4 linked regions of the Styela clava genome follow. The protein of the gene in region 4 binds, or shares a complex with, the protein of the main gene of each other region. Links are inferred from orthologs where the notes say so. Each region holds a gene or a part of one and is shown on either strand. Other genes may lie near its edges.

The links.
Region 1: transcription initiation factor TFIID subunit 8-like (region 4) and transcription initiation factor TFIID subunit 13-like share a complex: the UniProt entries of both Homo sapiens proteins name them as parts of the TFIID basal transcription factor complex. The link is inferred for Styela clava from reciprocal best matches to the Homo sapiens genes TAF8 and TAF13.
Region 2: transcription initiation factor TFIID subunit 8-like (region 4) and uncharacterized protein LOC120346397 share a complex: the UniProt entries of both Homo sapiens proteins name them as parts of the TFIID basal transcription factor complex. The link is inferred for Styela clava from reciprocal best matches to the Homo sapiens genes TAF8 and TAF3.
Region 3: transcription initiation factor TFIID subunit 8-like (region 4) and transcription initiation factor TFIID subunit 7-like share a complex: the UniProt entries of both Homo sapiens proteins name them as parts of the TFIID basal transcription factor complex. The link is inferred for Styela clava from reciprocal best matches to the Homo sapiens genes TAF8 and TAF7.

Annotation. Positions count from the first base shown.
Region 1 is NC_135258.1:9,412,584-9,419,064, forward strand, and holds transcription initiation factor TFIID subunit 13-like, read left to right. Parts: upstream 1-4,120; 5' UTR 4,121-4,382; intron 4,383-4,653; 5' UTR 4,654-4,719; coding exon 4,720-5,079; 3' UTR 5,080-5,961; downstream 5,962-6,481. Other genes in the region: protein C3orf33-like, read left to right, coding at 6,044-6,100, 6,177-6,236. UniProt on the Homo sapiens protein: The TFIID basal transcription factor complex plays a major role in the initiation of RNA polymerase II (Pol II)-dependent transcription.
Region 2 is NC_135257.1:9,008,618-9,016,402, forward strand, and holds the start of uncharacterized protein LOC120346397, read left to right. Parts: upstream 1-4,758; 5' UTR 4,759-4,761; coding exon 4,762-7,785. Other genes in the region: serine/threonine-protein kinase Sgk3-like, read left to right, coding at 304-390, 638-718. UniProt on the Homo sapiens protein: The TFIID basal transcription factor complex plays a major role in the initiation of RNA polymerase II (Pol II)-dependent transcription.
Region 3 is NC_135259.1:4,891,047-4,897,765, reverse strand, and holds transcription initiation factor TFIID subunit 7-like, read left to right. Parts: upstream 1-4,894; coding exon 4,895-5,857; 3' UTR 5,858-6,193; downstream 6,194-6,719. Other genes in the region: PDZ domain-containing protein GIPC2-like, read left to right, coding at 6,262-6,402. UniProt on the Homo sapiens protein: The TFIID basal transcription factor complex plays a major role in the initiation of RNA polymerase II (Pol II)-dependent transcription.
Region 4 is NC_135258.1:11,736,345-11,744,004, reverse strand, and holds the start of transcription initiation factor TFIID subunit 8-like, read left to right. Parts: upstream 1-4,659; 5' UTR 4,660-4,768; coding exon 4,769-4,907; intron 4,908-5,986; coding exon 5,987-6,148; intron 6,149-7,426; coding exon 7,427-7,557; intron 7,558-7,660. UniProt on the Homo sapiens protein: The TFIID basal transcription factor complex plays a major role in the initiation of RNA polymerase II (Pol II)-dependent transcription.

The sequences.
Region 1 (6,481 bases), about 2.3 Mb from region 4:
AATATATGGACACGTTAGACCAGAGCGAATCAGTCCTTACCGGTACCTTTGACGCTACCGGTACCCTCAAAAAAGTTCTGAATTTCCAGTAGCAAGAATTTTGCAGAATCAAAACGTACAGCCAGTCATGACACTGACTAAAATCCGTGTTCCCATGGATAAAAAATAATACAGCAAAATTTTAGACGAAATATCAAATTTCATAGAATTCATGCAAAATTTTGAAATAAATAAAAGTAATAGCCTTCTAGCAAAAAAATTACTCTTTAACCACTGAAAATTTCAAAGCAATTGGTCCAGTATTCGAAGAGAAAAGCGACTTTTTAAAAATGTGTCAAAGAACAACAACAACAACAACATAATATTGAAACGATCGTTATGTCCACTACGTGTCCAACAAGAACAACACAAGAGAGCTACGCACAAATATATGGACACGTCAGACCAGAGCGAATCAGTCCTTACCGGTACCTTTGACGCTACCGGTACCCTCAAAAAAGTTCTGAATTTCCAGTAGCAAGAATTTTGCAGAATCAAAACGTACAGCCAGTCATGACACTGACTAAAATCCGTGTTCCCATGGATAAAAAATAATACAGCAAAATTTTAGACGAAATATCAAATTTCATAGAATTCACGCAAAATTTTGAAATAAATAAAAGTAATAGCCTTCTAGCGAAAAAATTAATCTTCAACCACTGAAAATTTCAAAGCAATTGGTCCAGTATTCGAAGAGAAAAGCGACTTTTTAAAAACGTGTCAAAGAACAAGAACAAGAACAACAACAACAACATAATATTGAAACGATCGTTATGTCCACTACGTGTCCAATAACAACACAAGAGAGCTACGCACGAATATATGGACACGTTAGACCAGAGCGAATCAGTCTTTACCGGTACCTTTGGCGCTACCGGTACCCTCAAAAAAGTGCTGAATTTCCAGTAGCAAGAATTTTGCAGAATCAAAACGTACAGCCAGTCATGACACTGACTAAAATTCGTGTTCCCATGGATAAACAAGAGAGCTATGCTCAAATATATGGACACGTAGAGTCACATAATTTTGATGACGTCATAGCGAAAAAAAAAGTAATAGCCTTCTGGAGAAAATTTTTATCTTTAACCACTGAAAATTTCAAAGCAATTGGTCCAGTATTCGAAGAGAAAAGCGACTTTTTAAAAACGTGTCAAAGAACAACAACAACAACAACAACACAATATTGAAACGATCGTTATGTCCACTACGTGTCCAAAAATAATACAGCAAAATTTTAGACGAAATATCAAATTTCATAGAATTCACGCAAAATTTTGAAATAAATAAAAGTAATAGCCTTCTAGCGAAGAAATTTATCTTTAACCACTGAAAATTTCAAAGCAATTGGTCCAGTATTCGAAGAGAAAAGCGATTTTTTAAAAACGTGTCAAAGAACAAGAACAACAACAACAACATAATATTGAAACGATCGTTATGGCCACTAAACGTGTCCAAAAAACGATCGTTATGTCCACTAAACGTGTCCAATAAATATATTCTATCTAAGTCAGATGTATGTTAAACCGTAGTAGTATATATTTACGGTTAAACTAGTTGAACACAAAAGCTTAAAGAAATGGTCATCGTGAGTGTGCGACACCAAAATTTAGTATAAGTCAAAATTTTAAGAAAAAATGCTCTAGACACAAAAAGAAACTTTAAAAAAAATTTAACAATAATAAGAAACAAGAGAGCTGTGCTCAAATATATGGATACGTCACAAGGTGTCGCTATTTTTTAATCTGACACATGAAAAACGAATCTATTGAAGTCCACAGCATTTTTGAAATAAGTAAAAGTAATAGCCTTCTGGCAAAAAAATCAATCTTTAACCAGTAAAAAAATTCAAAGCAATTGGTCCAGTATTCGAAGAGAAAAGCGATTTCATCATGACGAAAGAGGAGAATAATAACAACAACAACATAATATTAAAACGATCGTTATGTACACTGACGTGTCCAATAATATAATTCTTTACATATGATTTGAATAGGATAAAATAACGTAGCAGTTGAGGGAAGACAATTAGGACACAGTATTCAAAAAAGCACGTTTCATTATATTATTCAGCTGTACTTCTGTACGATTACGGAGCTTAAATTTTTATTTATTGACACATGCAACATCGAAATGCACAATCATTTTTATTCGAGAAAAATAGTACGTATTTGCAATATAACTGTGTGTTGGTTTTTAGTCAATTCGCCTCGAAAATCGTGTGAAATCGGTTCTCCAAAATTAGCGGCAACTATCCGGTTAACCGCATAGTTAAAATACGAGATACCCGGACAGGCGCGCAGCCAGGATTTTCAAAAGGGGGGGGGGGGGTTCATAATCATAAATTCCCATTGCGGTCTGTAACAGTCTTCGAATTACGCGCTCGTTAAAGGGACGTCTTTTCAGCGTATAATGATTATTCTTGTCGCGTGAAATATTCAATCTCTGACAACTACAAAATTCTAAAATGTTCTAAATTATTAAGTTAATTGTGTCCAACGTAACTCGCGGTTGCTTCTTCTTATGTCAAAATAAAAACATTAGTTCTCTGAAATGCCACGGCATCGGTGGACATAAAAATATGAGGACAAACGGTGTATTTAATTTTAATACGTATTTTTGGAATCTTGCCAACTCGTTATCGCCGTTAGAAAAATCACATTAACTGATATAAAATCCCGAAGAGTACAATTTTATTTCGTAATCAAAAATCGCCGCGATCACGCCACTTCTTAAACAACGAAAAATGATTTTTCTGTTGTGCTAAGTAATCAATTCGTGACCGATAAGGGCATATTTAAAATGTCTTGCTTTATTAATTTAATTGTCTTCAATTTAACCAGCATTTGCGTCGACAAAACAAAACAATTTTTTACAATTCACAATTTCAAAATACCTCGGCCATTTGCCGACATAAAAATAAAAATTTGTGGTAACTGCCCGTCGCCTATCATATATTGTTTTGATCCGTATTTTTTCTATTTTGCAAATTCGACAAATTTGAGATGTGCTTGTAACATTGACTTCGTTCAATCGCAATGCTGACACTCCGATTATTTTTAAAGATAAAACCTCCTGAAAAATCCGTAAATCTGCTGTGAATTCTCATGGAGTAAAATTTATTTCAGTACAATAAAGATTGATGGATATACTTCGGATTAATTATCTTATATATCATCACAAACCGGGAAAAAATCGTAAGTAATGGATAAAAGGCAAATCCCACCCACAATTAACCGTGTTTCGATTTTAGTGACGGTATGTTCCTAAACGGCGACCAAACATAATGTGCGCCATAGGCACACGAAATTTTGCGATTTTGCGACTAGAAAAGCTTTTTTAGACTGTCGCGGGACTCAACAAAACTTATATTGTTTACGGTTCTATTTTCAGTATTTTATAATGCCGCTTTTCAATCAAATTTAGATCGCGGTTTTACTCCTTCTTTTGTCTTTAGAACCTCGCCACCGATGAACGTATAATAACTCACGAATTCACAATTCCGTGCAAAGTACAAAAATAAAATAATTATCATGTTTATCGTGGCACAAATTTATGATTTAGAAAGAATAAAAACCGACGTAAGGGCGTTTACGGCCCAAATAACACGCTGATGAAAACATGGGCGATTTTAGCAGAAGGCAATTGCACGCTTTTTCAGTTTTCACATTTCCGTGCGGGTACAAAAATAAAATAGTTACCATTGTTCCCGCGGCACAAATTTGTGAGATTAGAGAGAATAAACACATGTAAAGGGCGTTCACGGAATAAATAACATGCCGCGTTGATGAAAACGAACGGCGATTTCAGCAGAAGGCAATTGCACATGTTATCGGCAACTTTTTCACTTTTCGGAAAATTCAAAAGGGGGGGGGGGGGTTCGACCCCGACCCCCCCCCCCCCCCCCCCTGGCTGCGCCACTGTAACCGGATATATCCGTTATCCGGATAGTATAAATTATAGGTATCCGAACTAACTCTAATTATATGATCTACTTGAATTTGCTGTTTTTTTTAAAGCCCCATCAAAAATGTTGCCCGATTTTGAATCGCGTTCACTCTCCTGTTTTTTTTTTTTTTTTTTTTTTTTAATTTATGTTGGGTAGTGGGTACGTGACTTTTTAACTTTATTTTAAGTTATGCTCGCATCCCGGGTATCTCTGCATTTTGTTAGTCTGTTTACTTTTTGTGTTGTTTATGCCGGAGAACCGAAATAAAATGAGTGATTGGTTTGATTATCCAACGAAATCTATGCTCGGGGTAGCAACCATTTTAGGTTTGATTTTAGATTACTGCAGATAATCGAAATTTTCACAATCAATTTTAAAATCTTTAAGTTGAATGTGGGTAAGTTAAATTTCCATTGTTACGAACTTACGATAAACCTAGTCACAAACATATCCTAAAATCCTGTTTATACACAAATGTATGCACGTAAGTTACCTGTGTCGCTTATGGCTCTATGGACTGCTCTTTGTAAAATCCAAAAAGCGGAAATCCGACGCGGCTTGTGAGATTTATGTGCGTTTTCATTTTTATAGGTATCGTTAGTAATTGCAGTAACATGTAAAATTCAGGTATTGAAAATTGAATTTATTAATTTCGGCATTCGTCTCAGACCCCCGACTAGCAGCTAACAAATTAATTTATTGCAAGCTCTCCAATAACATAAGAATTGGTGGAAATGGCAGACTCTGATGGTACAAAGCAAAGTCCTCAACATTCAAAATCTAGCAGCCAACAAGATTTAGATAAAAAGAAACGTCTGTTTTTTAAAGAAATTCGATGTATGATGTATGGCTTCGGAGATGATACCAACCCCTATACAGAATCAGCAGAACTCATAGAAGAACTTGTTATAGAATTTATAACAGAACTCACACATAAAGCATTGCAGATCGGAAGGCCTGGAAGAGTGCAAGTTGAAGACATTGTTTATCTCATACAAAAAGATGCAAGAAAATATGCCAGAGTTAAAGACTTATTAACTATGAATGAAGAACTTAAAAAAGCAAGAAGGGCTTTTGATGAAGCGAAGTTTTGATTTCCAAATTTGCACTTGAAAAAGAACTAAATGGGAAAAGAATTGTGAATATAAATGGTCCGATTGTGCAATAAACCGAATCATGTCTTACAAAGACTAATTCGTCTGTACAAAATATTTGATAATGTTTTAATCAAATCAAGAGGCCATAATTTATCATTCACTCTTTATATAAAATATTTATGTTTGTTTTGCTCTGAACAAGCAGCTATTAAGTAAGGAGCTATTATAGTTTGGAAGAACCGGATCATTCCGGTTTAGCTCTGCCTATCCAATTTATTATACCGGTACCATAGGTGTGATATCTTCATAGTTTAATCTGAAGCAGGGGTGTGCAACACTCAGCTCAACACACCTTGTCAACACTCAGATTTTCCCCACCAAGCATAAAATCCTAATCCGACAGTTTATGTTTAAAAATGCGCTCACATGGTTAAAAATATGTAATGTTTCTGTCCTCTTGTCGCTGCATTTGATTTTTGCATTGTGCGAATTTTTTAATTCGTTGTATCCATGGAAAAACCAAATTTTTTGTGCAGACCAGCTGAATGTCTGAAGTTGGTTATATGGGCCACCGACAAAAAATGTTGCACATTCCTGGACTGGAGTATAATTGTTTGAGTCTAGGCTACTCGCCTATTAGTATTTTGAATGTTTAAATTTCATTCCAATCTAAAAAATGCAAACTGGGAAGATTGCTATAACATAATTGGCACTTGATCACACTACAATGTGATGGAGATTATTCTGACCTAACTTACTCCATTAATTTTTTTTGATGATAGAGTTCGAACAATACTGATGTAAATCAAATTTTTTCAGTTTGTCTGGTGTTAACATATTTTCTGTTTTTGTTGTTTTACTTTATCTTACATTTATAGATTAACTTTCATGGTTTTTATCGTAAGTTAGTCATGTGATTTGAATCTAAGGATTGTCAAAATGTTTTACATTCCGCACAAGAATGGATGTTGTGAATAAAGCATCAGAATTTTTTGACAAGCACATTAGGATTGTGAAGGTAATTTTTGCTGTATTCTTTAGTGTATTTATTATGCCAGACTTTTTTTTATGTATTATTATTATGTTTTTAACAGAATGCAGGATATGTGATTGCTGGAATAGGTGTTTTTATGATTGTAAGAAGATCAAGACTCGTGAGTTTATATTTGCAATATCACTGTAGTCATTTATGGTAATTTTTGGATAATGATTCCATTATCTTGACATTTGTTGTTAACTAGAGTGGTAAATATATGAAACATATATGGCATCTTCACCGATTTTGATTTAAAAATGATGTTCAAAATATGGTTTTATATACTGGAAATAATTGAACTTTAACAATTGCAAATTTGCAACCCCATATCCACCAGTCAACATGAACCAATTTTCGGGGTGT
Region 2 (7,785 bases), on a different chromosome or scaffold from region 4:
AATGTTCATTAACGGAGCATTGATTTTTTGTTGTGATCTTTTAATGTTTTGTTCTAGTGCTCAAGGCCAGGAATAATTGAAAAAAATTGCAAAGGTTCTGTCATGGAATTATTTTTAAAAAGTATGGGAACCACTGAGCTAGTAGAATAAGGAATTTACCAATATGAATTTTCATGAACAAATTTTGTCTTCAATTATATTGGCGAGCTGGAACATCTTTTGTACTTTGTTTTATCTGATAGATTTGTTTTGCGGTTTTAAGATATTCTCAGTTTAAATTTTATGATATATTTTTCATACAAGGCTGGGCCTGAAGACTTAAAGCATGTTGATCCAGAATTTGTTCAAGAACCTGTTCCAGAATCTCTTGGGGAAAATGACGACCATACTGTAAGTTTGTGTGTATTGATGCAATTTTTTTCATTCAATGGATCAGCTTGCCACTTTGTGGCTACAAAAGACTGATATATCAATATTTGCTGTTAATTAAGTCTATCTTGTAACTGATTGTTAGTACATTTTCTGGCCTGTGGCTGTGTCTCACACAACAATGTGATTGATTTATTCCAATATCTGTATGTATATCCTTTCTCCATATTATATTAAAATAACATGCAATGTTTACATTAAATTATAGGTAAATGCAAGTGTTCAAGAAGTTGATGATGCCTTTGTTGGATTCTCATATGCACCACCTTCTATCCTTTCAAACTCATAACCTGGCATTTATGGCAATCTTGAGCTTGGACAATGCTAGTGAAACAATGCAGGATCTGAAGGCTTCTATGACACATTGGGTGGAAAAAATAACAGCATAGTTTGAATTAAACAATTTGCTTCATGATTTTTTGTCAAACTATGAACTGTGGAGTGAGTATGGGGCATTCTGGCCACAGACTTCGTATCGGGAAAACAAAACATGAAGCAGGTTGAAGAGAATTCTTATCGGTTTGATGTCTTCAAAATATCCACTAGATTTAAATTTAACTAATGTGAAATATGCTAAATTTAACCATTTGATCATGGTTTATGCCATTTTTTTTTCGCGAAATTTGAGTTATCAGACATTGGTAAGACAAATTATGATTACCGTATTTGCTCGTTTTGTAGCCCGGGCCCATATTTTTTTCAACCAACTCACTAACCGGGCCTTAATGCAAACCATCCCTTATTCAAGCACGGACGCTTGTTATTTTCGATCGTTACAATAAATAATATATTGTTATTTCCAGTTCTCAAGTATGGTTTAAACGAGAATAACGAAAATTTTGACATTTTCTACGCACCGCAGGTACAAATCCGCAAAAGAAGAAAAGATTTGCGACGCCCCATCAATATTGAAACGATGCTCTTGGGCATCGGGACGCCCAGTTTGAAAACCATGGTGTTACATAATCAATGCTATCTGTTTTGACTTGGACGCCTGAGGCGTGAGTGTTATCTACCGGCGCTCAAAATTCAACAGCGTTGTGACAAAAGCGCTTCTTATTTCCTATTGTTCTCTACCACTGAAAAAGTCAGCTTTTACATCTGGCGGGTATTCAAGCACGGGCCCTTATTTATTTTTATGTTTTGTTCACACGGGCGGCTATTCAAACAGGCCCTTAATCAAGATCGGGCGGTAAAACGAGCATATACGGTATACTGTAACAGTATTGAAATCTCTCAAACAATTTGAACTTTATTAAATAACAAATTAAGTATGTTCATTTGAAGTAAATTTTTGTTCTCCCTTCTTGAATTCCAGATATGTGATTGTAAATTGAACATTGCCTACTACCTCTTAGTAAAAAGAAAAATGATAACTGTATTTCATGGATGTGACATGGTTTAAGGTCTATACTCGCTCATTCAACACTCATTCTGTTGCCTTTTTTCATGCAAATTGAGAGCTTTTATTTTTTCTTCCAAAGCCTGAATTGGTTGTTTTTCATCATTTTGAAATCAGATTCTTACTTTTTTAAAATCTCGCTCACCTTATATTATTGCATAAAATGTTGATATCATTTTGATCAATAGTTTTTGCTACCCATCATGAAGTTAACTAATTTTGAAATTGAATTATGCCCGTTCTTATACACTTTAATATGAAATATTAAAATTCATGCAGTTTTCTATTAGACTTTCCATAACAAGTCCTATGCAATGTTATCTTAACATACTTGTATGCATATTTCCATAACATTTTCACAAAGATTGAAATTTCACTGAATTGTATTGCCAACAGATTTGTTCAAACCAAAATTGTGTTCAAACCAGTGCGTTCTTCCATTTAAACGGCCTTTATCAAAAAATAACGTTAAAATATATATATATTTTATCAGTGTTGCTATTTCATAATATTTTCTGCGTTTTCAGTGGAGCAACAGATTTGTATACATAATCTGCTAGGCTGAAATATGACATTAATTATATGGGGTAAAGTAATCTGTGTAACAATTTATCACATGAACCCAGAAAATTTTGGCTATAGTTTTGGCTTGATGGCAGAACTATAAATTTTTTAAAAAACAAGCCTATTTTACATAACATTTTATGTAAATAGCATTAAAATGTATAGGCAATTGCTTGATTTAACTGATTTTCTGCCTATCTCTGATTTTTTCTTTAATTGAGCCAACATTTCTGGCAGTGCTTTTGAATTCAAATGTTTATGACTGTTTGTCTTTTGATTCTCAATGTTAACTGTTTTTATATATAAGATGAATGTACAGTGATACCTCGGTAGTCGAACAACTCGATACTCTTAATAATTTGGTAGTAGGCTAAAAAATTCTAGTCAAAAATGCTGAGGTACTCGAACGTAAATTCGGTGCTCGAACACCTGAGCATGTGGCCGAGTGAGATGATCAGATGACGTCTCCCAATCCGCGCATCTCGTCCGCGTCTTGACCATTCAAGAGAGATGCCCAAATATATGGATGCGAAGGCCAAAACGTAGTAGGATGTGTATGTAGTCTGTCACGGTAGTCAAACACCAGTCCTGAACGAATTATGTTCGACGGCCGAGGTATCACTGTGTTTTGATTTGAAAAGCTGATATTTTCATATATTAGAGTGCATATACTATTGACATGAGATGTGATTATTTTGTTGTATTCTTGCAACTATAATGTGCTTGTAATGTTTCTTTACATTATGTTCAGCTTACTGTTTTAAAGCTTATGCTGTTATTCAACATAATAGCTCTATAGGTATGAATAAATGCCTGTCAAGATCACTTTTCAGAGCAAACACACCTTATAAAAAGGTGTACAATGTTATAAGTAATAGAATCAGTAGTTTATTTTCCCCCATAATGGAAATGCATGCTGCATATACAGAATGTAAAATTGGAATTGAAAAAAATAATACTGATTATCGTGCAGTGACACTCTTAATGAAGACCAACAATACTTAACACAATGGTAATAGAAAAAAGTTGAACATTGACATTGAAAACAAGTAATTTTGTAATGTCAATTGTAATTTACCAATGAATATTGCCATTATTTACTAATAGGAAATGCTTGTTTATTGCCATTTACTGTTAAACATGCAGTTTTGCATTTCTTGAACACCAGTTGATCATCATTGATAAATTCTAATGCTCATTTTATATGCAAAACCTGATTATATGAAGTAATATAGGTATTTATAATGTGTTCATCCTCTGGCTATATTACTTTTTATACTCCAAATATTTCTTGATTGGAATAATTTTATTCATGTCCAGTTATGTCTGTTTTACCATAAACATGATTTTTGTTGTTGTGATATAATGGTAAATTTGCCTTGAATGTGGACGAATATTGCATTTCGTAATATACCATCTTGCATACTTAATGGTAAACTAGTTAATATTGTTATAAAATGATCATTCTTAATATATTGTGCAATATTGTTGAAATCTTTCAGAAGTGAATTTTTAAACTTTTTGTTTGTATCTCCCTGAGTTGATGGAAAATACCATTTGTTCAAAAATTGACAAAGAGAAACGTTTTAAAATATCCTCCATTGTCTGTTTTTTTGTAACTTTGAGCATAGGATTTAGTTATAAGTTCAATGCTCATCAGTTTTTGCAACCTCCAGAAATATATAGAAAATTGTGGAAACTTTTTATCAGTGTCTCTTTAAAAAATCGATTATGCAATCAAGTATGCATTGTACTGGAATGTTAGGTGATCGATTGGAAACAATCTAAAGTAAAAATGTGTCAAAGATTCAAATCAAAATTGGCTATTATTTTTCAAAGTCTTTAATATTATATTATGGGTCAGGTTGAAATTTTTCACAAACCTTCCAATGAAAAGTTTCTTTGTCAGCATTCATCACAATCAATTTTGATGTTATTGCAGTAATGTTTCCGTCATCAGGATAATTGTCCCAAATACTATTATTGTGAGTGGTGTCAGAATTATTATCGACATATTGATCATTCCATATCATCTTACTTTGTATACAATAATGACTATGCCATTTTCGTTAATAAATAAAATTCATTGAATCCAGCCATTTTATTTGTGCAATTCGTGCCTTGTGTAATATAACTGTTGTCGTTCTGGAAACAAAAAGATTGACTTCATCCTATTTGTCATTTTTTTCAAATGTTTCTGTATGAGAATTATTTTTGAAAATTTTTTTTTGTGTTGTTTTCATTTTTGAAATCATGATTTTTCATTGTATACATTTGAATATTGATTATTGCTATTTAAAATATTTTACTTGTATTTCTATACCCAGGTATATTTCATAAAGTCCGTATTTAAGTAAGGTTTTGTCATGGCGGAGAAATACAGCAGAAGTGTGCTGAGAGTTGTTATAGCTCAGCTTAGTCAAGCTGTTGGATTTGATTCAATTCAATCATCTTCTCTTGACATTCTCACCAATGTGTTGGAACAATATTTACTTGTTTTATCAAAGTCTGTTCATGATTTTAGTGAACAATGTTGTCAGACAAAACCGAACCTATTGGATGTAGAATTTGCATTAAAAAGAATGCATGTTGCTATCCCTGATTTAGTCGAGTACATGCAACAAATGGAGCCGGTTGCTTTCCCACATAAGGTGCCAATGTTCCCTGCACCAAAGGATTCGAATTTACAATTTCCTTCTGGTAATAATCCTGAAGATTTTGACAGAGCGGAACATATTCCTCTTTACATGCCTTCAATGATTGTTGCACCACCAAAACCAATTGTTGAAACTGAAGAAAATGATTTACCTGAAAGCCAAAAAAGTAAGAAAGCAACATTTGTCATTGCTGGCAAAGCACAAGGCTCTTCCTCTGATGAAGATGATTATTCTGCAGGTGAGGCATCGAATGAAGAATACATGTCCGATGATTCCCTATCACATAACCCAGTGAAGTCTCGTCATTTGACAAAACCAGAAGACATTCCAACAATTGAAGGTACTGCACCAAGTAGTATGATGTCTGAATGGGATGAGCTGCGTGGTAGCATGTCACCAACAAGACGAAGTAGTTTTGAAACGGCAAGTGAATTACATGAACGACCTGTAGTAAAAGGGAAAAAGAGTTTCGATGAGCCACATAATTACACACCATCTCATAAAACGACTAAACCTTTTCAAGACTTGCCATGGTTGAGCCCTGATAAACCCACTCCAGAAAAGCGTCATGTGCCATCCACGAGCTCAAGTGTGCGTAAGGATTCTTGGGCGTCCAAAACTACAAAATCTGAAGACCCAAAATGGCTGTCTGGAAAGAAAAAAACTGCTGATGTGTATGATGCTGACTGGTTGCAAGGTGAAACTGCATCTCCTGTCCATTTATCTAAACAACACACACCAGATTTATCACTTGGAAGCTCCACGGTGGAAAAGAAACCATGGCTAAGTAAGGATAAAGATTATTCTTCTACACCTAGTAACAAGGGCACACCTAGCTCAAAAAAGCTCATGACTCCTCAAAGTGGAAAGCAAAGATTGACTTCGACTCCAAGCAGTTCTTCAAGCCACAAACATTTTTCGAAACAAGGTATTGACCGAAAATCATCTCATCACAAACCATATAAATCATTCAAACATTCATCATCTAGCAAGAAAGCTGACCTAGGGGACGAGCCTATAAAAGCTAAGATTGAGGCGGCAGAAAGACTTATCCAGGGTCCTCCTGTACCTGCTTACAAACCTCAAACTCCAAAATCAGTAAAACGTGAGCCTGGTCTGCAATCACCTCCTAAGTCTCCAGTGCGATCTAGCATTGAACGAGCTGAAAAACTACTCAAGCATCCTGTTGAGAATTTAAATTTTCCTCCTTCAAGAGAAACCTCTCCTGTAATCAAACAAGAGAAGCTTTTTCCTGGCAAAAGTCTCGAAGATAAAGATCGCTCCAACTTTGCATCTTATAAATCTATGGATGATGCAATTGATGCTGTTATCAATAGAGCTTCAGAAGAAACTGTAAAGAAAGATGAGCAGGCTAAAAAAGATGCGGAGGAAGCAGATTTGATGAGATTCTCTCATCTTGTAGAGGATTCTAGTTCATCAGATTCTGATGCGGATGTTTCTCATAAAGTGGAACAAATGTTGCAACTGGAAGAAAGAGGACTAAGAGATGCACATCCTCCTACTCCAGGATCATCTCCCATTCCTACTCCGTCATCCGCAGAAACTCCACAATCTCTTGACATAGATGATGAAGATGAAGATGTTATCGTTGATTCTGATTCAGGTGAATCAATACCATTACCGCCAAAAATTTCACCTGTCAGTGAGAAGTCAAAATCCAAACATGAAAAACATAGTAAAAAAGAGAAGCACAAAAAGAAAATGAAACGAACAGATGATGGAAGCAGCAAATCCTCACACAAATCGCATTCAAAATCGAAAAAGGATAAACACATTCATAAACCAGCATCTTTCGTTACCACAGAAACAATATCTGAAAAATCAGTTAAAATGAAAGTTAAACTAAAACATTTGAAACACCCTGAACCTAAACTTTTTGACGTCGATCAAGATTTGTTTAAAGCTGACATGAAACAAACACCAAAACCATTTAAAGAAGAGAAACATAAATTTAAAGAAGGCAAGCATCATAAGACAAAAGAACATAAAAAGCATTCGACACCGAAATTATCGGAAGTTAAACAATCTTCTGGTGAACACGATATGTCAGTGGAAAAAATAATTCTGAAGAAGTCAAAGAGCGGAGATGCAAAAGTAGTCAAACCCAAAGTGAAAGAACACGCAAGGTCACCTTCACCACCATCTCCGGTGATTAGTCGAAATTTACCATTGCCAAAACTTTCTGCTGCAGTTCCCGTCATGAATGTTACAGCAACAATCAAAGAAAAGGAAAAGAAGAAATCTAAGAAAGAGAAAAAGAAGAAGAAAGATAGAGATAAGGACAAAGATATTGATATTGGATGGTCACATGATAAAGAAATAAGAAGGGAAAGCAAAGAAAGAAGTCATCATAGAGAAAAATTTAAAGATCCTGAGAAAGACGTCGCTATATCGTTAAGACGTGATTCTTTTGATTCTGATGCTCCTTCCCCAATGGTACCAAAACTAACATTAAAAATGGGAGCAAGTGAGAAAAAATTTGTTATTAAGCAAGGTGGCAATTCTAGTGTCAAATCTAGTACCAAAAAACGGTCACATTCTTCTATTGGCGACAGCCCAATACCTGCCAAAGAACGAAAGGTGTCTGTAGAAAGTGTAAAAACTGTTTCAGAGAGTTTTGCAGCTGCTGTTGAAAGAAAAGTTATCACTCAAACGATAAGTGCTGGCCCAGCTCCGGCTCCACTCGGTGTATATGAAGACGAAGATGGGAAT
Region 3 (6,719 bases), on a different chromosome or scaffold from region 4:
ATTCCGTTTGGCATTAGAATTTATTTGGCACAAAAAAAGGTAGCGGCCCATATCAATAACATGGCATGCGACAGATTCTACTTTGGCAAAACAATATATGATATTTCCAACAGAGTGTACCCCCAGCTAGAAAACTCTGCAATAAGTACTTTAAGAAGAAACTGCTTGATAAATAAGTGCGAAAATGAATTACGGCAAATATGGGAAGCACTTCCAATAGAATGGAGAGAGATTTTATCAAGGAATAGGGAATTTGGTCAAACAAGAATATTAATTGATAGGTACAATGGGTCGAAAGACTTGACCACTAATCAAATTTATAGGATTTTACAAAGTAAGAAAAATGATACATTTTTGAAAAACCATGAGGAATACATATTTAATAAATTTCACCTAACTAAGGCAATTAATTGGAATAAAATATGGAAAATAAATATTGGAAACAAGTATAAAGAGTTATGTTGGAAGTTAATTCATAATGGGTTGCCCACTGGAGACAAAATAAAACAATGGTTCATTGATGAACCAGGAATGTGTGTCTTATGTGAAAATAATGTTGAAGAAACTGTGTGTCATTTATTTTTAGAATGTGACTGGTCTAGTGATTTTTGGCAATGGTGTTGCATAGATATTAATCAAAATACTATTATAGCAAACGATTCGGAATGCAAATCAAAATTAATCACAATATTATGCGGAAAATCAACAATTTGGCAATATCGAAATTCAGTAAAATATGATGAAAGAGATAAAATGAAAAGTAGTATGCGTTCAATTTTCAAGTGTAAACTGGTAGGGATTTTAAATTTACTAAAAGCAAGCGAAAGAAATGAATTATTGTTATATGAGCACATGGATGATCTTTTACATAGGTCAATCATGATGTAAGTTTATATGCAACACCATACTCTGAAAATTATTGAAAGTATGTTATCTGTACATCATTTTCATAAGAGGAAGATGTATCGACTATGAAACATAGATGGCGAATGGGAAAAACCCAATATGAAAGCGTGGATTTTTCCATATTCTCTGTCTAATTTTTGTATTCTTGTATTTTTCATGCTAAAAAATTAAAATAAAAACTGATTACCTGTAAATTAAAATTATATTCAACTAACTGCTGAGTGGATTACATGTGGATTAACTCAACTTTTTTGGACATATATTGGATTATATTAAATTAATGACATCATGGTAATGGTATGAATTTTGTCTTTATTTTGATTTTTACTATTCATATGTATTGGGGGGAATGGGATTAAATTAAAAAATGATAAACAAAAACATGGAAACAAAAAAAAATATCTATTTATATATTTATAATAAAATGATTTGATACCAAAATATTAATACGAAAATTCCGTTTGGCATTGGAATTTATTTGGCACAAAAAAAAAAAAAAAAAGATTCTACTAGACAGTTTGTAAATGGTATGAGAGTATACTCCACATAACTGTGTAAGTTTATATGGTGCAAGATCCACTGAAAATCCAATAGTTATTAGATATAAGTTTATTTCAACTCCATAATCAGCAATAGACGATAAGATAATTGATGAAAACAAAATAAATGAAACTGAATATAGAATCGGGAAAGCAAACGAAACCTCAAGTAAGGTTTTACATATTTTAGGTGGGAAGGTATTAATAAAAGAAGTACCGAAGTAGTACGTTAAAGAAGTAGTTAACGTTTCTATAAACTTGAACACTGGTGGAGAGGAATAGGAGTTTCCTAGTTCTGTAGTTGTTACAGTACCGGTACCGTATTGATACTAGCTTAAACAACAATATTGTTTTGGTTCAGTCAGGTATGGAATATCAGAATATTGCAGAAGTGGCATACCATGTGCTTGTAACCTGCTACAATCATGGTATAATGCTCCTGCTGTTAGGTTTTGCATTTGATTTTAAAAGTTTTTCAATAGTTTTAATATTGGCTGATTTGGTGGAATTTTGTTTTTTTTCTACCCATGAAACTCTTATCTGAATTTTTCAATTAAAACTTTAAAAATTTTCTTTCTGCCATTATTTGAAATGTATTTAATTGTAGTAACTGAACATAGGAAACATTTTTTTACTCTAAAACTGTACGGCCGATTCGTTCCAAATGTTTCGCCTCTCGGACTTTCTTCGATCATTTTTTGGCACATGCAGACATGACAATTTGAGTTAATATTCGGGCTTTCATTCACCTTTGAAGATGTTAGAAAATAATAATCCACTTTGTGGAGCCATTGAAAAAGAAAAATATAATAGCCTAATATCAGAATATAGTGTCTTGGGAATTGTTTAAAAACATTATTATCGGTATATAAATACATACAGATTTTTAGGTTCATTAACATATATTTATCATTGTTTCGTTAAAACAACTTATCATTACATTTCATATAATTCAGTAATTTGTGTTTACTTGTTCACAGGACATGATCTTTCAGAATGCAAGTCTTCAAAATAATTTTTTTTATAATAATATCAACAAGTCTAAAATCTATATGCTTGGCTGAGGAGGGAAGTATTGTTCTTTCTGATGGAGTGTTTATATACAAGAGAGAAATTGTGAAAGAAGCATTGGCTTATGGACAATATAATGATGAGATTGCAGAAAAAGGATGGGGCATCCTCGACATCACTGCAACGACGCATAACATGAAATACTCTCCTGATCAAATTATGTATGCCGCTGGAATGTTAGAAGGAGCTCTTACATCAAAGCGTATATATCAAAATTATGAGAATTTGAAAGGTTTTTTGTTTGATAACAGACCTGCTGATATATACAATCGTTCTTGTGATTTTTTTGCCAAGCAAGAAAAATGGTTAAAGGAGAATGTGATTTCTGGGAAAGGTGATATTAGATGGGAAGCCGTTGGGTACATGCAAAGTCAATTGGAGGGACTTCTGGCTGGATATACTCTGACAGCCAATAATAGTATGAGCATGTGCCAAATGCATTTGTTGAACGGAGCAGGAGACATGTTAGATTTATTTAACGTCTTCCATAGACCATCGCTAAATCATTTTAAAAGAATGTCAAAAAAACAACTTCGCCAATATAACCAGAAACATGGTCATTGTTCTGTTCTTATTAAAGTTACTCCAGGATTTGAAAACATGTATATGGGACATAGCACCTGGTTTGTTTACAGCGCAATGCTTCGTATTTATAAGAACTATGATTTTCAAGTTTTCGGTAAGGAACATAAAAATTCAAAAATGTCATTTTCTAGCTATCCTGGTTTTCTCCAGTCATGGGATGATTTCTATATATTGGGAAGTGAAATGGTTATATTACAAACTACAAACAATATATACAATACTAGCTTGTATGATCTTGTAACTCCTAAATCCCTTTTAGCTTGGCATCGTGTTCGTGCAGCAAATCTTCTAGCTAGCAATGGGTATGATTGGGGCGAAATCATCAAATTTCACAATTCTGGCACTTACAATAATCAATACATGGTGGTTGACTTGAAAAAATTCACGCCTGAAATTGGTTTCGAAGATGGTGCGTTGTATGTTGTGGAACAAATACCAGGATTTGTTGAATCTCATGACCAAACAAATATCTTAAGGGAGGGATACTGGGCCTCCTATAACGTACCCTTTTATGAATCTATCTACAATATGAGTGGGTATCCGGCTGTTACCAAAAACGATCCTGATTTGTCACATGACTTAGCTCCGAGAGCAAAAATATTTCGACGTGATCAAGGCACTGTTGTTGATATGGAAAGTATGAAAAAAATTCTCCGTTACAACAACTATAAATTTGATAAATATTCAGAAGGTGATGCTTGCAATGCTATATGTTGTCGCAATGATTCAAATTATATGGGGTGCACTGATTCAAAAGCAACCGATTACTTTTTGGCCAAGTCCTTTACTACTCATGCAATAAATGGGCCGACGGTTGGTGGATTGAGTGATATTCCGCCATATAAATGGCCACAAAATTCTTCCTATCATGAAGGAATGCCTAATGTATGGAATTTTACTTTCATTGATATTAAGCCTAAATATTTTGGGTAATCGATAGTAATAAATTATGATAATACTATGCAATGTTTTTAAATTTGCATTTTAAATCTTTTTATTATATGTTATATAAAATACAGTTCATTTATTATTCAGTGATGAGTTCTATTTGTAATTTTTTATTATTCCTGTCATGATTTTTGAGATAATATTTGGTATTTGAATATCAATATTTTGCAGGAATTCATCTTTTATTTTATACTATAAAATCGAGACAGTTAAGAAATATTGTACAAGTATAATATAATGACAAATTCTCGAATACCTTCAGTCATTTGGTTTTGAGTTTTCAATTTTTTGTGTGTTGTACTCAGTCAAGTTTGACTATTGGAAGATTCTTTCCTACAATTCAGAAGATGATATGTTGCTAAAAGTGTTATAGAATTGTGTTTCCGTTTTACGAATATTGTGTTTTATTGTTCATTAGGTACTCCTGAAGTATGGGCACCAAGATGTCGCACAACCTGAACCCTAACCTGGTACACAACCTGAGTTCAGGGTGTGCGCCATCTTGGTGCGCATACTTCAGGAGGTCTGTTTATTATAATCAAGTAGATTTATATAAGTTGAGGATATATTATATATACAGGGCTGCCTCCTAAAAAACAGAACCTATATTCTGGAGAAAACATAATTTTTGTGCAAAGTTTCTTAGATTACTGAAACTTTCGTTTTCCATCATACACAAAAAGAAGTTCAAGGGTTAAATTAATTTTCTTCATTTTTTTCTGAAATTTTATTGCCAAGCAATATATATACACTATTATGCAATGCTCGACATCATATTACTAGATGCATGTTGATATAATATTTCTTATTGTTATTTCTGGCAGACACTTAGGTATATTATAGCCATGGATAAACCGAGCAATGCTCCATTTGAATTGGAAAATTACTTTTTAATGAGGTTACCTCCGGATGCTGCCACCAAACTCAATGAAGTTATGCTTGCTGGAAATTTGAAAGACAGACTAACATTGAATATGCATGATGATTTACGACATGGTGCAGTGAAATTTGATGGGGAATGTTATTCAGGAAAAGTTTGGGACTTACCTTGCGTCATTGAATGTCAAAAAACTGTAGATATGAAGACTTTTTATAAAACTAATAATCTTAGCCATATGCTTGTTTGTACTCCCGATACAGATTTAAGTGAACATAATTCTAATGTTCAGCAAAATTTAAAATCGAATCATTTGAGAGAGCGGAAATTTCTATGGCCACATGGAATTACTCCACCACTAAAAAATGTTCGGAAACGTCGTTTTCGTAAAACGGCAAAAAAGAAGTATATTGACTCTCCTGATATAGAGAAAGAAGTGAAACGACTTCTAAAAGCTGATATTGAAGCTGTGAATGTGAGATATGAAATAATGACAGAAGAGGAAAAATTGGACGATAAATCGAAAAATTCAGATTCTAATGATGCTAGTCAATCTTTGGAAAATGATGAACTTCATAAATTTTTTCCTGAAGTTAGTTCGGAGAGTGAAAAAGAGGACGATGATGACGTAAACGTGGAAGACGTTGATAAAGACGACAGTTTAGATTTTATCGAAATTCCATCTGGCGTTCCTGTCGTGACCAATGAAGGAGAGAGAGCACGATTGAAGGAGAGATTATCTAAATTAATGACGGAAGTGTCCGAACTCAAAAAACGTAAGGAAAGGAAAGAACAACTAATCAGAGGCCAAATCACAAATGAAATGTTAAAAGTCAAATTTCAAGGTGAATTAGAGGTCGTTCGTTCCAGAATTCAAGATGATATGAAGGATATTGCTATGACAAAAGCCAAGTTGGGCCTAGAACGCTAATTATTAATTAAGGGATGCAACAATTTCACTCTTCTCTTCTTGACATGCTCTCCTCAACATCAGGAAAATATACACGTAAATAATTGGGATACAGTGATGTATGTGGTGCAAATAAAAGGTTTTGCTTATCTTCCCATATTATAGCACTCATTGCTTTTTTATCTTGGACAACATTTTTACCAATCCTTTGTCAAACTTACGTAGAAATGTCATTTCAATCAATGTAAATCCCTTCTTTACAAAATGTGATTTTCAATAAAATTTTAAGAATTCAAAAATTGTTTTTTTGCTTACTAAAAGTCATTTCACTTACTATTATCTGCTTTTTTTTATAGACTGCAAGATCTAATTATTATAGTATGAATCCCGTTTATTTCTATATTTGATAAACATAATCATTCAACATGTTTTCTGGATTATTTGGGAAAAAGAAGAAAAAAAATTTGCCTAATAATGGTCGGACTGAAAATGCTTATGAACAAACTAACAGTAACCACACCGAACAACCTCCAGAACCTAAACAAAAGCTTGTATTCCATACTCAGGTAATATTTGACATTGTTGGTTTTGTGCTATTCAATCCCAAACCATACTTATGGTCTGAAAGTGATTATTACGAAGCCTGTGCTGAAAAAGGCATTTGATACTGACGGTATGAGCTTTTCTGTCTGAATAAAATTACCATTTATTCAGTAATCTGACATACTGTTATTAATTTTGTTAGATATTTACCAAATAGTTGGGTTTTAGAAATAATTTACGATAGATTTATTAAAGAAGTTATCATTTTAAGCCAGGGTTTCTAAACTTTTTGTGCAGCGGTCCCCTGTTTGTCTGACTCTACGGCAAGTCTCGACTTGTA
Region 4 (7,660 bases):
GGTACCGTACCGGTACCGTAGTCTACCGTTACCATATTAATTAAAAGTCCAAGTCTTGGTACGGTACCGGTACCGTACTGTCCTTGTAATTACCACCAAAACAATTGCCAGAGTAGCCTAATTTGAACCAGAAGAATGTTAAATCTCTTATTTTCTGTCTACTGCCATTCTCTACACTGCCCATGCCGTCAAGGACTGGATTAGCATTAACAGATTACGGTAATGCTGTAATGGGCCACATACCGGTACCGTACTCACTACGGTACGTACCGGTAGGTGGTACCTATTACCGTATCCTGGCATATGCAGGTACATTTAGGCTACATGCTAAACTTAAGAACCTTAAAATGTTCGTACGGTACCGGTGAGAGGGGTTGGTAGCCTAAAAGTCTCATTGCGCGCAGCGCATTAGGAGCAGCGCATTACGCACAGTGAGGCCGCATTAGGAGCAGCGCATTGAGCACAGTGAAGCCGCATTAGGCGCAGCGCATTGGGCACAATGCGAGATCACATTAGGAGCAGCGCATTGGGCACAGTGAAGCCGCATTAGGCGCAGCGCATTGGGCACAATGCGAGATCGCATTAAAGCAGCGCATTGGACACAATGCGAGGTCGCATTAGGAGCAGCGCATTGTGCACAGTCAGGATTGACAATTCATCCATCCATTTTATCATTGTTTAAGGAATCTATAAGGACAGGCCAGACTCGACTTTTAGATAGTAGCAACAGTGATTCGACTTGACTTGGTACTCGAATTTGATAGAACTAGATTGGTGACACGTTACTGTAATTTAACAGCTTTGCCTTTTGTTGTTACAGTGGAATCATGTATGTCTGAAATTGGTCAGACGAAACAATAGGAAAATATATTTGTCTTATTGTGCCAGATAACTTCGATGAGAATATAATGATTATTAAGACATACCGAAGATTTATAGACGACTGCAAACTATTTTGGACATGAGGATCAGAAAACATTCATATCTGCAGTTATAGCTTGTTTGTCTAAAGGAGTTAGACTATGATCTAACGAAAGCTTACAAATATACCTGTTATTTCGTGAAAAGAGATAATGCCATACTTATTGACATAAATTACTCAATATAAATCCGCTGAATACTTTTCAATCAGCTTTATCATCCAAGTTCCCCACTGTTAATGATGCATTCAAAAGTTTCATTGATTCTTCAACATACCAGGCGCGATTCTCACTGTGCATGTTTACTTGCGGTTGCTTTTTTATCATAAGTATGTTTGTTCAAAGAATTCTTGCTATGATCCAACGAAACGTTGGAAAAACACATCTGACTTAAATTTGCCCCATGATTCTGAATCACATATAATTCAGTTCAGAATAATCATTGAAGATATAGATTGAGTTCAAAATTAATTTAAATCGTGGAAAAAACATTAAAATAGAGAAATATAAAAGCGATAATGCGTTACAAGATTTAACATATTTGTGAACTTCAGAGTATATTTTCAGAAGTGAGGCAGTATTTATTAGATTTTGATTATTCAATGTAAATTATTAAGGAAATGTAACTGGTAAACTGTTCATGGAAGTACCAGTTTATGTCTGAATACTTTTTTAAACTGAATAGGTCAAGCGCAAATCTTATAGAAAATTAAAAACAAACCATTTTCTGATTGCGGCAATGTTTATTTTAAAATCAAATCATTTTATATGTTGTTTTTGTGATTTTCCTGTATTTATCATAATGATATTTATCATCATATTGACGGTATGTAGCATTAAATGCATATTCATGTGTGGGTGATGTACACCGATAAAATATAGCCAGAAACACAAAACATGTGGCTTAAATTGTTCGAGTTGTTTCAATGGGGTAAAAGGCAATCTATAGAACTTTTATTAAACAAAGCCTGGACGACCTGAAGTATGCGCACCAAGATGGCGCACAACCTGAACTCAGGTTGTACACAAGGTTAGGGTTCAGGTTGTGCGACATCTTGGTGCACATACTTCACGAGTACCCAAAGCCTTATACAACTTTGATTGTTTATGCCTAAATGGCTATGAGTAACTATAAAACTTTTTCCAAAATTGCTCTTTTCCAGTTTCCATTTATCAATAAACATTTCCAATCGTTTTTTTTTTAAATATCGTCACGCTAATAACCGAATTGCGTAAGTCATATTTAGCAGTTTTGAGAAAAACATAAAAAACTTCCTAATGATATTGTTATGCCATTGAGAGTCAATAATTTGTCATGGTTCAATTTTTTGATTGTTGCCGGATTTGAGTTAATTTGTATGACGCAGTTAATTAACGCACTGTGACTTAGTCAGAAATGTGTCAATGACTTGGGGACATACGCAATTTTGCAACTTTACTATATGCACCAGTCCTGGAAACTAAACATTCCAAAATCGAATGTAATTCTCAGTATCTACAATGTCTAATCCCCAAAATAGCTAATCAGTTTCAATTACATTATTTTTTATGTTTAAAAATATATATTTTATCAATATAACACGCTTTGCACACCCACCGAAATAAGACTAAGATTAAATATAAAGAATAAAACAGCAATGCACCCAATATAAAAGCCAACCAAGGTGGATTGGACTCGGACAGTAAATATCACAAGTGCACGTCTTCCTATACTGTAGTATGAATTCAAATTAATACGCGCGCCGTATGCCTGACGACGGTGAAAAATGCATAAATGCGTGGCATGCGGAACTTAGTTTCACAGAAAATGTCTAAGAGAACCTCCTGAAGTAAACCACGAAGAAGATTCGAAATGGACTTGCGACGACTGCGAATCCACAGGGATACATTTCGAAGCTTTACGAAACATTTTCATGAAGTCGTCAAAAAATGAGCCAGAGGAAACGGATAAATAAGTTTCGATATATAAAGACTTCTCAATCGTTTTTATCAAATCTAGGGAGAAAAGGTTGGGAATAATAATACACGAAATGGTTCACGCAGCTGGGGTTTTGATGCATGAAGGTGGAAGTGAACATGGACCTAAATTTCAAAAAAGAACCCGCCGTATGGTCAAACAATTAAAATATCATCAGAAGAAACTCCTTCCAGAGCTGAGACATCTGAGCATAAACTTCAAAGATATAAGCAAATAATTAAAATATGTTATGACTATAAGTGATTAGAAAAAAATATTAATAAATGACAGTTCAAATCTCTTTCCTTTATGTTATGTGTGTGGTATAATTAAACATAATATCATTTTCCACTGCTGTTGTTTTTATTTTGCATAAAGATCGAGGTTAAGAACGATATAATTGCATTCAATTCAGGATGGAGGAAAGTTGAAATCATCATGTGAATTAATCGCACATATTTATGGGAACACTCATAACTTTTTTCTAAAATGCATAGCAGATGTATTAGTAACTTCTTATGCAAAGCCTTGTTGAATGGGATGTATGGAATACCCCATAAAATTGGGGCTACATATCACCGGTCCGAGTCCCAGCAAATTCGATTGCCAAGTCAAGTCGAATTCTATTTAAAAGTCGAGTTCGACTTTATAGATTCCATAAATAATGCTAAATCCTGACTGTGCGTAATGCGCTGCTGCTAATACGGCCTCACTGTGCCTAATGCGCTGCTCTTAATGCGACCACGTATTGTGTCCAATGCGCTGCTCCTAATACGTCTTCACTGTGCTCAATGCGCTGCTCTTAATGCGGCATCACTGTGCGCAATGCGCTGCTCCTAATGCCACCACGCATTGTGCCCAATGCGCTGCTCCTAATGCGATCTCGCATTGTGCCCAATGCGCTGCGCCTAATGCGGCTTCACTGTGCCCAATGCGCTGCTCCTAATACGATCTCGCATGTGCCCAATGCGCTGCGCCTATTGCGGCTTCACTGTGCCCAATGCGCTGCTCCTAATGCGGCCTCACTGTGCCCAATGCGCTGCTCCTAATGCGATGCTCGCAACGAGCAAATTACAGTAACGTATCATCAGCCGAGTTCCAGCAAATTCGAGTACCAATTCAAGTCGAATTACTGTTGCTACTTTTTAAAAGTCGTGTCTAGCTTGTCATTATAGATTCCATAAACAATGATAAAATGGATGGATGAATTGTCAATCCTGACTGTGCGCAATGCGCTGCTCCTAATGCCACCACGCATTGTGCCCAATGCGCTGCTCCTAATGCGATATCGCATTGTGCCCAATGCGCTGCGCCTAATGCGGCTTCACTGTGCCCAATGCGCTGCTCCTAATGCGGCCTCACTGTGCGTAATGCGCTGCTCCTAATGCGCTGCGCGCAATGAGACTTTTAGGCTACCACCACTAATGGTACCGGTACCGATGTACGGTACGGTAACACTGACACCATGCCCTTCACTTTCTCAAACGTCGCCATCCCTAATCTGCTCCACAATTCGACCGCATTTTGACATCCCCAATCTGCCACTACGCTTCGACCGCATTTTGCCATCCCTAATCTGCCACCACGCTTCGACCGCATTTTGCCATCCCTAATCTGCCACCATTCGACCGCATTTCGCCATCCCTAATCTGCCACGCTTCGACCGCATTTCGCCATCCCCAATTTGACTTTTCGTCCCTATTTCGCCATCCCTAATCTGCCACTTTTCGACCGTATTTCGCCATCCCTATTCTGCCATCCCCAATATGACTTTTATGCTACCACCACTATAGGACACATTCGCCACCAAAGATACAGCAGTTTTTTCACAGCTTCCGTGGGTAGCTTTTCTTCATTTGATGTTGCAGAAATTTCGTGTTCAGTTGTTAAAATGTCTCAAGAAGGAACTGATCCATCTGTGGCATATAGACAAGGCCTTACTGCAGCCATTGGTGCAGTGTGTGTGGAAAACGGCTGCGAGTTTGTTCGAAAGTCCGCACTGGAGACATTGACAGAAATTGCACAAAGCTGTAAGTGGATTTTTGTATGTCAATGATAGATAGATAGTTAATTCTGAAAACTCCATAATACACAAAAATGAAGAATTCTGGAAAGCGAGCAAAACCTTTAAAAAAGTTTAAAACAGCACATGCACAAAAAAATTACAAAAAAAAAAAACCTGCTATAGAGAGATTTGGGCCAGACATAAACAAACAAAAATACGCTAATGTATTGAACTTCGGGCTGTTATGTAAGTAAATGCCATAAATTAAATGTCTTGAAAGGTTGGAAATATAAAATTCAATCTTTAACAAACTTAGTACACTGATACAGCAATATATAGATATATGTTGTTAATTGAGGTAATGTTCTTCTTTCCCTATTTACCAGTGGTATTGCGATTAACTGAAGATATTTACATCAAATCTAAACCATGATAAATCGATAATATTATCATAACAATGCACGTAATATACATAACAAAATGGAGTTTTGTTGAATACTATGTTTTGATCTTTCTATAATTCCAAGTGCTTTTATTTATTTTGCAAGTGAACCATTTCCAGATTTCATCATATAATTGCAATGCTAACTATATTAGCTTGTTCTTTCTACAGTTTCACATGTTTTGACAATAACCTTTATTATTGAAATTTTTTTTAATCCTGCCTAATCGATAAGCCGTGGTCGTTTTTATATTTTTATGTCAAATAATGTTCAACTTGGCAACTTATTTCTATAGTTCAACATCATTAACGTTTTCAATGGCTAATAAATCTCTCGACTGAACAAGGTTTTTGAACATCTAAGTTAGTTATTTCACAAAGAGTGATATTAATATGGCATGGTGTAGTTAGTTTTATTAGTGAGATAGGTAAAAAGCAATACATGTTGTCAATATTTGAATAATTTTACATTAAGAAGTGAATTTTACATTAAAAAAGAGATTATTCTTGACCTGTCAGACCAATTTCTCCACACATTTGTAGGGATATTGAAACTCAGTGAAATGGAATTAATCATTGCATCTAAATCAGTGTTAATGATTAGTTATTACATCAATAGAATTTGTTCAATTGAAACTGAATATGTATTTTATTCACTGAAGATTTAACAGAGATAGCCAGAAGTACTCGCCAATACTGCGAAATAGGAGGACGAAGTCTTCCAACACTTCTTGATATTCAAACTGCATTGGCTGATGCAGGATTCAAATTCAATACACTGCCTGACTTTATAAGAAATAAGCGAAGAGTTTCCATTGGTGAAGGTCAGTTAGTTATTTTTCAACTTATTCAAAAATGTTCAAACTCTTTTTTCGGTTTCATACAAAAGGTTTATGATTGTGGAGTAGGTGAATTTGAGTGGGAGTGGTGATTCGTCTACGGCCCATTGAAATGGGCCGCGGCCCATCAAGTTGTGTAATGGGATGAAATAATAAAGACTAATAAATATGTAAATCCTACCCACTTCCCGAACTTATAATAGAACTATAATGTGAAAAATCTGAACAAAGTTTTGTCCTAATTTCCTAACCTGGTACACATACTTCAGGTGTATCCTTTTCTGTAGCTTAGTATTTTGCTTTATTTTTGGACACGTAGTGGACATAGCGATCATTTCAATATTATGTTGTTGTTGTTCTCACTGTTGTTCTTTGACACGTTTTGAAGAAATCGCTTTTCTCTTCGAATACTGGACCAATTGCTTTGAAATTTTTAGTGGTTGAAGATAAAATTTTTCTCCAGAAGGCTATTACTTTTTTTTCACTACGACGTCATTAAAATTATTCCCACTAGGTGGCGCTACGTGTCCATATATTTGAGCATAGCTATCTTGTTATGTAAAGGCTTATCGCAAGAAAAAGGTTTGATGGCATCCCGCGATTTTTTTTTGTTCGAATATTGACAATTTTGTAAGAATTGAAAATTTTGGTAGGACAATTGAATTTTTTCTGATGGGCCGCCACGGACCATGTGGCCCAATTAGATGGGCCGTGGCCCCGGCCCATGGGCCTTAAAGGAGTCACCACCCCTGTAGGTGAATTTGGTATGTCTTTGTTATTCATTTGCTTCTGACTTTTTATATTTCAACACTTATATGATTTGTATATTTGAATTTTTCATATGAATATATCTCTCAAAGCAAGGTAACTAATTATGACCCAAAAATGAATAAATTGCTGAAAGAAATATGTAAATTTATTGGAAGAAAGGAAAAATTGTGCAACACAGAATTATGGTTTGGACCAGTCATATTGAAAATTCTTTTTGAAAAAAAAATTACCCAGTTAATTTGTTAATTTAAGTAGCAGAGTGTTCGAATTTCAAAATGTCTTTCTTTCTAAACATCGTTCACATAACATAACAAATTGCTGAAATTTATTTGCTAACCATTGCGGGATTAACGATATAGAAAGTGTACAATTAATCATTCAATTATCGATCACTACATTTTTAGGTTATTGAATAGACTACTTCATCACCTGAATGAAGTATTAAAGTCTGAAGTCTCACAAAGTATTAAAGTCTTATTTATATGTTTATAGTTTCCAAGACAACATCTTCACAAAATCCAAATGTTCTTCTTGTTGGTGAACGAAGAAACTTTCCAACACATATTCCGGAAAATTCTACTTATCCTAAATTTCCAGATCCTCATACTTATGTTAGGACATTGGTAAGAATACTTTTTTGTAATGATATTGCTAAACACCAAGGCGTGTGCACATTTGAGTAGAGAATCAATCTTTGAGATAATCATTGATTTAAACAACCTGCGA